Sus scrofa: one gene and its partner. The protein of the gene in region 2 purifies or fractionates together with the protein of the main gene of each other region. This does not show direct contact. Links are inferred from orthologs where the notes say so. Each region holds a gene or a part of one and is shown on either strand. Other genes may lie near its edges.

Region 1 (6,401 bases), on a different chromosome or scaffold from region 2:
CCTCATGGAGCTGAAAGTGAATGAAGGAAGGCAGATACAAACCACAAATCTCAAATCTCATTTAATCCTTTTTTTTTTTTTTTTTAGGGCTGCACTCTTGGCATATGGAGGTTCCCAGGCTAGGGGTCTAACCTGAACTGTTGCTGCCAGCCTACACCACAGCCACTGCAACTCAGGATCTGAGCTGTGTCTGTGACCCACACCACAGCTCACGACAACGCTGGATCCTTAACCCACTGAGCAAGGCCAGGGATCAAACTTGCAACCTCATGGTTCCTAGCTGGATTCATTTCCACTGCGCCAGGACAGGAACTCCAAATCTCATTTAATCTTGACTCCCGCGCCCCAGTCACTCTCTAAGCCTCGTGGAATTTCAGTCTTCACAGTCCGAAATCACGGTAGGCATTTCTGTTTACATATGGATCTTTCTCCCTTACCAGCCTCCAGGGGCAGCAGAACAGGGACCCAGCTGGTTTTGTTGGTTGCTGTAGCCTGACAGCCTGGCCACAGTACCCCGGCACACAGTAGGCACTTGCCAAATATGTGTTAAATGAACTGTGAAATAAATGATGGAGTAACAGCAGACTCGCATGCGTGACCTCCCCAAATCCTAGGTGTGTCATCACCCAGATGAGGAAATCAAGGCTCAGGAAGGCAAAGCTGACTACCCAGTCCTACCACCACAGCTAAGCATTGTCTGGCTGTGGGATGCAGCAGAGAAAGCTTGGGTAGCTTAGAGGAGCATTCCCAGTCCCCCACCCCCATCACACAGGTGTAAGACATACAGCCAGGGAAGCACTGATGTGGGGAGGGCGGTTGGGAGACCCGGGGACGGTGCAAAGCAACTCGGGGATCTCTGTCTCAGTTCCCAGGACTAGAGATGCTGTGTTGGCAGGAGGTTAGGAAACGCTTGGCACTGTTGGGGGAGCTTCCGGCGCCCTGTCCCCAGTTCTGGGAGCTGAGTCTCCTGGGATCCTGTTTCGCTGGGGCCAGGAAGTTCCAGTATCCGCAGCCAGGTAGAGACCCCCGTGTATACCCGGAATCCCCGACATCCGGGGTTCTCCCCACACACCTTCAGCCCAGAAGCCGGCCTGAAGCCCTCAGAGGGCGTACAGGGGGGACTTTGATTTTAATGGGGGGTACCTGACTTTTCTGGGGGACAGGAAAACTCCCTCCGTCTTAGCCCCCTCCCTCTTGGGCGCCAGGTTCCCCTCCCCACCGCAGCTTTTAGCCCAAATCTTACCTTGCAGGGGGACTGGGGAGGGGATGCCCCGCCCTCTCCGGCCTGGGGGGCGGGAGGGGACAGGGGTGTCCAGACCCTTTGTTGTTTGCTGGTGTGTGTGTGTGTGTGTGTGTGTGTGTGTGTGTGCGCGCGCGCGCACGCGCGATTGTCAGACCTGAGGTGTGGGTCCGTGCGCGCGCGAGCCCAGGCCGTGACGGCTGCTGAGATGCTGGACTGCCGGGGCTGGAGAGGGAGGAGGAGGAGAGGGGGACTCCCCCGCCCCCGCCCGCCTCCTTGCCGGTTTGAATGAAGCGTGAGGGGGAGGGGAGGCAGCGGGCAGGAGCTTTGTCAGGACGTGTCCCCTCCCCTTCCCCCGACTGGGGAATCCCCTCCCATCCCCCCTGCGCCCCCATTTAGAGACCTTTACTCCTTTCTCTCCAGCCTTTTCCCTCCAAACGCCCACTCTGGGGGAGTCTGGAAGAGGCGCCCTTCACGCAAGTGGTTGAAGCTTCTCCCATCCCCCACGCCATCGGAGCATCCTTTAATCTGAGATAATCCCGGCCCTAGGCTGCAACGCGGCCTTTTATCCTGGTATCAAAGCGTGGGTAGGGATATATGAAAGTGTGTGGCTGGGGTCGCTCAAGCTCAATGTAAGAGTCCTTAGAGCCCAGGACCAGAAAAGGGGCCCCAGACGAAAGGGGAAGGCCTGCTAGCGGTCCTAGAGCACTACCACCGGGAAAGATTCCCCACTTGGTGTGAGGCCAGAAGCACTGGCCGCTAGTTAGACATTGGTGCCACCCAGCGGCCGCACGGGGAGACGCTGTGGATCGGCTCCCGAGACTAGTTAAATGAAGTCTGGGTGATTCCGAAGGGGGGCGCGCGAATCCCCGTTCAGGAGTGGCAGAAGCGAGGAGGAGGCTGTGGTTCGAGCCGGGGAAACACCAGGCCCCAAGGCAGAGCCACAGCACTCCCATCACCTCCAACCCCTCAAGGGCAGGGCCATATCCTTCCTTCACTTAGACCCTCCCAGGACAGGGTCCTGTACCCCTCGGACTGGGAAGGTCCTTCCATATCAGACAACCTCCCCAACACAGCTAAATCCCCCTTCACAAGGAACCCAGCAGTGGGCTAGGGCTGACGTCACTGCAGCGTGGCTAAGAGGACAATCCTCTCCCTCAGGCTCGCCAACTGCTCACTTACGGCCGCCGTAAAGGCCCACTATGCGGCGGCAGGAGATTAGCGGGGCTCGAGGTTGGAGAACCCACTCATATACCCCCCAGGAAGTGCCCGAAGCAGGATGGGATGAGGTTTGAGGGAGAATCCCAGGAGTTGGGACACGTGCGCAGGGCTCTTTAAGAACTCGGTCGCCAGGGCCGCTGCCAGGGTTACTAAGGATGTGACGTCACGTGCGGGCGGGGGCGTGCGCGCCCAGACGGAAGCGGAAGGGGCGGGGCTCGGCGGTCCGAGTCTCCGTGCTGCCGCTACCGCCGCCAGAGTCGGAGCTGGCTGGGCCGCCAAGGCAAGATGGTGGACTACAGCGTGTGGGATCACATCGAGGTGTCTGACGATGAAGACGAGACGCACCCCAATATCGACACTGCCAGCCTCTTCCGCTGGAGGCACCAGGTAGAGCGCGCGCGGCCAGCCCCTTCCCCCACTCCCGGGTCTCTGCTTCAGAGTTCTGACTTCAGATACTGCTAGGAACCCGGCCATGGACACCTGAGATTCCCACCCTACAGTCTGGACTTTCAGTAGCGCCCAGGGTTCTTCGATTCAACTCCGGGATCCCAGAACTTCCGGGACCCTTGAGTCCCTTGCCTGCTATCCGAGCCTCCCCCTGCCGATTTCTTCTTGGAACTCCCAGTTCACCCCTAGGGCACCTTCTTCAGAGTTTAACTACCAAGACAAGCTTTGGGCTTCCCCCCCAGTTCCGTTTGGGACCTTCCATTTACGCTCCGAATCTTACCTCAGAATCTTGACCCTGATCCTATTCAAGTACCCCCTTGTGATCTTGGACATCCCATGGGCCCCTCCCAATCCCTAGAGTTCCCAGTACTTTAAGTTGTAAGTCTGTTCTTCGATCGGCCTTTCTGGGTCCCAGTGGTGATTCCCGTTTAGATCCAGAAATCCTCTAAATACAACAAGGAATTCTGTCCTTCCTTGAGATTTCTGTTCCTGGCGTGGGACTCCAGCCCACACCCAGGACCCCTTTCCTGGAACTTAAACCAGTGCCCATCAGTATCCTTAGTCCCATCTAGGACTGGCATTTTGAAACCTAGTTCCCTTTCAGATTGAACCACCAGCTCTACCCTTGATGGAGCTTCCAATTCCGGCCACTCTCCTTCAGCCTCACATACTGTAGACCCAGTTTCCCATTATGTCAGGAAATCCTACCCACGTGGCTTCCCCCCAGCTAGAGCCCCTGCCCCTGCTTGGTACTGCAGACCCAGTCACCAAACTCTCCCCCCCACCCAAGACAGGCTTCCTGTAGGAGTCAGCTTTGGAAAGCCTCATTCAAATGCAAGTCCAGGACCCAAACCCACCCCTTCTTCCTTCTGACCCTAGCATGGACTGCTGATCTCAGACACCCAGAGTGACCCTGCTTTTACCAGAAACCCTCCCAGTCTGATTCCAGATTCATTGCCCTACTTTTACTTATTCCCCAAATCCAGACTCCAGGATCCCAAAGTCTGTTCTCTTGCCCTTCTCCCACCCAGCAGTGTTCACAGGCCAGCAAAATAGCCCTCCTAAGATGTAATGTTCTAGCCTCCTGCTCCCCAAAATCAGAGCTCCGGCACCCACATTCCTGTGCCTATGAGACTTTGAAACTCAGGGCATATACCTCTCAGAACCTTCCAGTTAGGAATTCCTCACCCCATTTTTCCGTGTATCAGCTCCCAGTCCTTTTTCTAGAAACTCCTAGAAGGGCTCTTCCCCTTCCTGCCAAGACACAGCATGAGTCCCTACATCTGCTACCCAGTGCTAGTTCCAACCCATTCCTTAAAGCAGCAGTCTCCTGGGTAGTGTCCCTGCTGGGCAAGCCGCTGGAGTGTAAGAAGAAAGTTCTAGCACTTCTCTCTTTCTTGCCATGTGTAACATTTTATCATGAAATATTTAAGATCTCTGCAAAGCTCTGAAGACTATCCTCAGGAACATGGATTACTGTCACATAGTCAATCTATGCCACTGTGTGGTGGATGTTCTGGTCCTGCTGGGCGGCAGGCTAGTGCCCCCTCTCCTACCTCGTCTTCCTCTCACCACGCCCTTCTCCCTCCTGGCCAAAACTCTTTCCTGGCCTGCTACTGAGAGTTCCTGGGCAGCGGTGGAGAGGGTCGGAGGTAGAGAGCCTGGTGTCTCCAGCAGCACCAAGTTCAGTGGCAGGCAAGCCTAGGTTCTTATCCCAGCCCTGCCACAGGACACTGGTGCTTTACTCTAGGGGGAGCAAGACCCCCACCTCCACGAGTCAATCATAGGAAGTGAGTAAGCATTCCAGAGGGAAAGAGGGGATTCTAGAACAAATAGCCTGGAGTGCTTCTGAGCGCAGGCCTGCCCACCTGGGTTCAGATCCTGGCTCCTTCAGAATCACAGACTTACTGCCTGGCAAGTTGTTTTTTCTTTTTCTTTTCTTTTTTTTTTTTCATTTTTGGCCACCCCATGGCATGTGACGTTCCCAGGCCAGAGATCAGATTTGAGTCGCAGTCGTGACCAAAGCTGCAGCTGTGGCACTGGCAGATCCTTGACCCACTGTGCCAGGTCGGGGATTGAACCAGAGTCACAGTGCTCCCAAGATGCCACCTGTCTCGTGCCACAGTGGGAGCCCTCCCAGTGAGTTTGGATTGCTCTGTGCCTTCATTTCCCCAGCAGGGAATCTTCACAGTATCTACCCCATAGGGTTGTTGTGAGGATCACCTTTTGTATTTAATGTGTGTTAACACTCTCAGGACAGCACACGGATGGAATAAGTTCTGTGGAGACTTTAGTTTTTGTCATCGTTTAGGTCATTCACACTCATGGTAAAAAAAAAAAGAACCTCAAGATTCCAGAGGGGACAGGTGAGTCCTCCCAGCTCCAGCTCCCTGCCTCCCTGGCTCCCTTGCCCAGAGACAAATAAGTACTGGTTTCTTGTGGCCCCTTCCAGTGAGCTTATGTGGCATCAAGGTTCTGGGAGCCTCGGTTCCCTTATGTATAAGGCAAGGTGTCAGTGACACCTGTGGCCCCTTCTCACTGCTGGGGCTTCTGCCCTGCCCAGCTGGGTACAGCCCCTCCTAGAGCTGTAAAGCCCATGCCAGGCAGGCTGCCACCCTCACCGCTCCAGGAGTCCTTTATTTAGCTTGGGCCTCCTGGCAGCTGCTCAGAGGATGCCGAGATTTCGATGGCTACCCAGCAGAAACCAGCAGCGTGGTACGTTCCTGCTGTCACCTGAGGCCAACCATAGAGAGCCCCTCATATTGTAGCGGGAAGGCTCCAGGGCGACGCAGGCCCATCATGGAGCAAGAGAGGTGACAGAAGATGCAAGGCATTCCCTGCAAAGCAAGGGCTTTCTCCCATCTTCATCCACATGGGAAAAGCGAGGCTTGTGATTGGCTGGGTTGTTCCTGTGGAGCAATAGAGAAGGGCTCAGGTCTCCCAACTCTCACCCAGCATGGGCCCGGCCCTGTGCTAGGACCTAGAGATCCAACCTCGAATAAAGTACAGAAGCAAGTTAGCAGACCATCCTTGTGGCCTTGGCCGTGACAATGGTGTTAACAGTGGGACGTGTATACTGAGTGCTGTGTTGCAAGTGGTTTCCTTGAAGTAACTCTTTTAGTCCTCGCAACAACTCTGTGAGGCCCCATTTTTTTGGAGGGGGGACACCAAGGCAGGGAGAGGTGTAAGCAGCTTGGCCAAGGTCACAAGCCAGTAAGTGCCAGTATGATGCAGCAGCAACCACTCCCAGTGACCCGCATTTACTCTGGGCTAAGCACTTTGAAGTACATTTTCTTATTTGAGCCCCTGTGTAGTCCCCAGAAAGAGATTGTCTGCCCGGACAGGCAGTAATGACATTAGTCAGCATGGAAATGCTGCTCACCAAGCACAGCTCTGGACTGTCTTCTTTATAACCCATTTTGTTTCTCCCGGTGCAACCCTGTGAGATTGGCACTGTTGTCTGCCTCTGACAGATGAGGAACTGAGGTTCAAG
Region 2 (5,618 bases):
ATATTCCTGTGTAAGGAATAATAATTTCTACCTTCCATGGGAATTATCAAAATTAGAGGTGATGCAGATACAATACTTGGCACATAGGAAGTATTCAGTAATAGGTAGCGCTATTAAAATTGTCTTTCCTATGGATTTATTTAGTTAATCAGACATTCATCAATACATTAGCAAATGCCTTCTTTAAATTTACACTAGTAGTAAAGACAACCAATATTTACATCTAGAAAAGATAAACCTGTAGTGTGACCACAGAGTTCCTATACAAGGTCTTTACCATTTGCTAAATAAATATTTATTTTTCTCTATGTTTTTCTATATATCTTCCTTGTTCTCATTCAGTCATTCATTGACAGCTAAAGACCTCACCTAGAGGAAATGTAAAACAAACAATTAACGGGACACATCTTACGCATAGGAACTTAGTAGCTGGTCTGTATACTTGTGATGAGCGCAATGAATGAAAAATATGGGATGGTATAAACACATACAGTAGGGAAACTGACATAATCCTGGGGTTTGGGAATTATGAACTGTCTCAACTGAAACTTGCAGGGAAAAGAGTTAGCCAAGTGAGTGAGTGAGAAAACATCCCAGGCAGGAAGAACTATACATACAAAATGTCTAGAAACAAAAAAGCATGAAGCATTCTAAGAATTCAAAGATGGTAATAAGACTGCAGTGTACAGAGAGAGTTGTTTTAGATGAAGCTAAAAAAAACAGCGTGATCAGAACACTCAGAATCCCATAGCCCATGTTAAAGAGCTTAGACTATATCCTAAGGGAACAGGGAAGCTATTAACAGACTTTAGGCAAGAGGACCAATGGTTAACACCCTCTACACGTGAAAATAAGTAGATTGGGTTCTGTATTTCTGAAGCTCTCAACCAGGGGCCCTCAAACTATGGCCCTTAGTCTGTTTTTATATGGCCTGGATATTTAAAAATAGCTTTTACATTTTTTTAAGAGTCGTTAAAGAAAAAGGAAGAATATGGAACAGAGACCTTATGTGACTTGTCAAGCTTGAAATATCTACTATCTGGCTGAATTCTAAACCATTATTTGAATGCTGGAACTCTGCATTGCTCCAAGCTATTTAGGAAGTTTGCTTTTGAGAATGAAGACAGAAGAAGAGAAGAAATGAAAGAAGAGTGATGGCAGTAGTCTTTAATCTCAGCATGTTTAGTAATAGGGCACCTGGTAAATAATTGTGTGATCTGGACCTCCTATCATTTTCTTTCTCAATGGGGCAAACACATACAATAAGGAAAATGCATGCAAAAAAGATATCTGCAGACTATCGCAATTATGGCAGTTTGCCATAGGGGGAGATGGTATGGAGAGGTGTGCTTTGCCTCGCCCCACAAAATGGCAAAAGGAAATACTAGTTGATTTAAACATAAAATTAGCAGTTCACTCACTCTTCAGCAACTCTTCACACTCCCTACTGGGTTTCTGTTCAACCTGTGGGAATGAAAAGGATACCACACAAGTGCTTTCAAAGCACTATATTTAAGAATGGTACTTCATGTTCAGTGAAGTAATTAATATTCTTGAATTTCAAATAGAGTTATAATTAGATAATGATACAAGTAAAACAGTGGTTCATTAGATTTTCAGGTTGTATCAAACAAATACAAAATCAGATTTGAATCCTTATGTCAAAATGCATGTGGTTTTTATAAATTGGTTTCTAGAAGCCGTCTAATGATAGAGATAGCCAGCATATTTGCATTCTGCTATAGAAGTTTATGTAGTAATGACATCAATCTTTATTTTTATCAGTGGCTACAGGAGTACTGTATTTCTGTAACAACTAGTTTCTTGATCATCTTTTTCTCAATTTCACAGATTATACTGATAGCAAGAAGTAGATTTCAGGCAGCTTCATGGAATAGAATTTCCAAATTGATGTTTATACTCCAGCTGGCAATCTCCCAGGTCTAGCTACTGAAACTTTGATCTTTTCAGGAAGCTATTAGCTAGGTGGTTAGAGTTCAGCTCTACTGACACATGCAGAAAATGCATAGCCAGTTGGATGCTTTTCAGAATAAAGCTATTTATAAGTAAGTTTTTACCTCTTGACTTGGAGATTTGATGTGGATTTGTTAGGGATAGATTGAAGTGCTAAAGTTTAAAATAAAATACACATCTGAAAGCACTGACCAAATAAGTTATACATGGAATTTCCACCTCGAATTGGAGACTAACTTAACCAGTAACTCTTTCTCTATAGTTGAATGGTATAAACTGTGCAGAAATTATAATCTGTTTTTCCCCTTCTTATAGCTTGTAGAGACTTCACTAAAAGGAGAAATTGCCTTTGATCCCCGAAGCGCCTATTACTTGTGGTTTGTGATGGATTTTTGTGACGGAGGAGATATGAATGAGTATCTGTTGTCTAGGAAACCCAATCGTAAAACTAACACCAGCTTCATGCTTCAGCTGAGCAGTGCCCTGGCTTTCTTGCATAAAAACCAGATCATCCATCGAGATCTCAAGCCTGATAACATCTTGATTTCTCAAAGCAGATTGGATACCAGTGACTTGGAACCTACACTGAAAGTGGCCGATTTTGGTCTAAGTAAAGTTTGTTCAGCATCTGGACAGAACCCAGAAGAACCTGTCAGTGTAAACAAGTGTTTCCTTTCCACAGCATGTGGAACAGATTTCTACATGGCTCCTGAAGTGTGGGAGGGACATTATACAGCAAAAGCTGACATCTTTGCTCTGGGGATTATCATCTGGGCAATGCTGGAAAGGATCACATTCATAGACACAGAGACAAAGAAAGAACTCTTGGGGAGTTATGTAAAACAAGGCACTGAGATTGTACCTGTTGGGGAGGCGCTTCTGGAAAATCCCAAAATGGAACTTCTCATTCCTGTGAAGAAAAAGTCTATGAATGGGCGAATGAAACAACTGATTAAGGAAATGCTGGCTGCAAACCCTCAGGATCGTCCAGATGCTTTTGAACTAGAACTCAGATTAGTACAAATTGCATTTAAAGATAGCAGCTGGGAAACGTGACACATTATATTATTTGCAAATATCTTGGATGATATGCTGCTTCTGTTTTAACAGTGATGCAACATAATGTGGCTGAAAAAGAATATAAAAAGCTAAACTCCACCTTCTAAGGGTTTAGATTTTATCATGGAATTTTTTTCTTTCCTCATTTCTCTTAAGTCCAAGCTGGCCATTTTGTTAATATGTTTTAAATGTGTATTACCAATGTAGGTGTAAATTTTTTTAAATGATCATTGGTAGAAGTGTGGCAGGAAAATTCTCTAAGAGCCAAGAAGAAAAGAGTCCAGTTTTCTGGAAAATGTCTCTAAGTATTTTAGACATTCCTTGTCAGTATTAGGAATTTCCATGGAAGAAGAGGTTTGCATGCTGGTAATGCAACCTTTGAAGCTTTGTAAAGGAAACATATATGTATATATTTATGTATATGTAAGTATGTGAATGTGTGCATTTTGCATTCCATATGAAAAAAATGCCACTTCTGTTTAAATTATTTGATGTAGGTTTGGGTTTTTGAGATTTGCTGGTGAAATCAGTGATGAAAAATAAAAGAACCTTCCCTTATCTTCCTACCCTGTTCCTCCCTCTAATGAAATCATACTAAGTTTTTTTTATTTTTGTAATATTATACAGCTTTTTTTAAGGCATCGTTTTGGAGAGTCTAAAATTATCTCATTAAGCATGAGTGAAGTTAAGTGATCCAAAGCTGCTGAAGTATGAGCTCTCCAGTGCCCTATAGCTGCAGGAGTTGAATTAGCCATGCAGTCATGTGATAGCAAATTGGCAAGGACATTGATGATTCAGTCATACTTTCTTTAGGTAACCAAGCATTCAATTAACCAATTAAACCACTGCATTAGGACATGTCTGCACTTGAGCATCTACAATCTGATATAAATCTGAACACAAGATTCTTCTGTTGCTGAAAACTTTGCTGTAGATGAGCTGTAGTACATGATAAATTAGTTTTTGATTTCAAGATTTTGTCTAAGCCTCAGCGTAAAGTTGAAGAAACCAAATGAGCTCTACCCTCACATTGCCTGCCCTAATATGGTCTCTTGTTTAATCACTGGAATTCCTTTCATTTTGGCACTAATGCTATTTTCTCTCATCTAATTTGACACAGGAATGGTAGTGATATGGTTGTATTCAATGTTGATCACCTTTTTCTAAAGTGGGAGATGATACCTATACAGCTTGGCAAATGGGTAAAATATTGCGGCATCAATTATCTTTCAAATAGAAAAGTTATCAGTTTTATACAATCACTTGGTGTGGTCTATGTCAAGAACCAGTAGACTTATTTTTCTTGAAGTCGGTTTGATTGTAACCCCTTATGGTTATCTCCAATTTGTCTTCCTGTAAATGCAGATAGTTCAAATCTAAGGGAAGAAAGTTTTCCTAAAACAGTACATTAGCCTTTAAGGTTGTTAATAATTTAAGAACATTGTATATAGGTTAATCTTTATAAAGCACTAGAGTCTTTGGTCAAAAGTTTAAAAAAAAGTATTAGAAATATTGAAATCATTGATAGTTCAGATAGTCTCCTCAGCCTTTTTGAACTTCCACAACTTTTGGAATATTGCTATCGTAATCTTCTTATTTAAAATGTGTTCAGGGGACTATAAAAGGTGAAAAAGCACAAAAAATTGGAGTACATAAAATTTCTGAACTATGCATTACTTGGTCTGGAAGTTTAAAATTTGGACTGAAAGGGTAAAACCTTTTAAATGAAAAAAGTCATATCCTTTTAACATTACTTTCAAGCTAATAAATATAAGAATTCTTTAGGAAATTAGAGATGGAAATATACTGGAACTTCATGATAATTGACCCTCTGGATTGCCAAATTAGTATAATACAGATCTGGCCAAGAGGATTGAATTTATGGAATTCATTATAATGTCTCATCGATAACATGGCACTTCAGCAGAGATTTATGATGATTTAGGTGATGGTATGCCAATGCTTTGTATGCTCTTCAAATATCTACATGTCATGGTTTCCTAAGTACATAGTTTTTGGTCCTGCCTCATTTAAAATAGTTAATGATTATAACTTATTTTGAAAAATACTTTATTTTACCTGTGAAGTGGAATTCCTTCTTTCATTGGCAGTAAAGAAGTGAGGTAACCAGGAAGTTTCTTCTGAAATTTTCTCAAGTCCTTGTATTCTAAAATAGCCTATAATACCAAGAAGAATGATGGTAAATTCTTTGTCTTTATTTGTTCTTTCAGTCAGGAGGAATTTATTAAGTACCTACTGTGTGCTCAGCACTAAGGATCAGTTGATAAAATGACAATTAAAAAATGGCTTGTGGCCTCGGAACTTTTCTCGGCAGGAACAAGAAATAAAAGATGATTAGTGGTACTTAGAAATTCCTGGATATTTGCCAGAGGAAAAATGGAAGCAAGAATTTGTGCACAGTGCCTTGCCCATAATAGGTACTCAATAAACAATTATTCTTCATAGAGTCTCTTGCCATGGTTTATAGTGTTTTATGAAATTTGTCTTAATTGAAAAAAGACCAAATATTCCAAATAAGCTTATAGGCAGCTGTGGCCAGTTAAAAATGGGGTTGTACAGTTAGT

Evidence for each region. The genes of interacting proteins can lie anywhere in the genome.
Region 1: the proteins of PDIK1L (region 2) and CDC37 purify together in Homo sapiens (affinity purification with mass spectrometry; 3 studies listed by BioGRID and IntAct, counting the BioPlex papers as one, with this or other methods). This does not show direct contact. The link is inferred for Sus scrofa from reciprocal best matches to the Homo sapiens genes PDIK1L and CDC37.

What each region holds. Positions count from the first base shown.
Region 1 is NC_010444.4:69,209,161-69,215,561, reverse strand, and holds the start of CDC37 (hsp90 co-chaperone Cdc37), read left to right. Parts: upstream 1-2,652; 5' UTR 2,653-2,746; coding exon 2,747-2,848; intron 2,849-6,401. UniProt on the Homo sapiens protein: Co-chaperone that binds to numerous kinases and promotes their interaction with the Hsp90 complex, resulting in stabilization and promotion of their activity. Inhibits HSP90AA1 ATPase activity.
Region 2 is NC_010448.4:83,548,287-83,553,904, forward strand, and holds part of PDIK1L (serine/threonine-protein kinase PDIK1L), read left to right. Parts: intron 1-967; coding exon of another isoform or gene 968-976; exon of another isoform or gene 977-2,283; intron 2,284-2,289; coding exon 2,290-3,030; 3' UTR 3,031-5,618.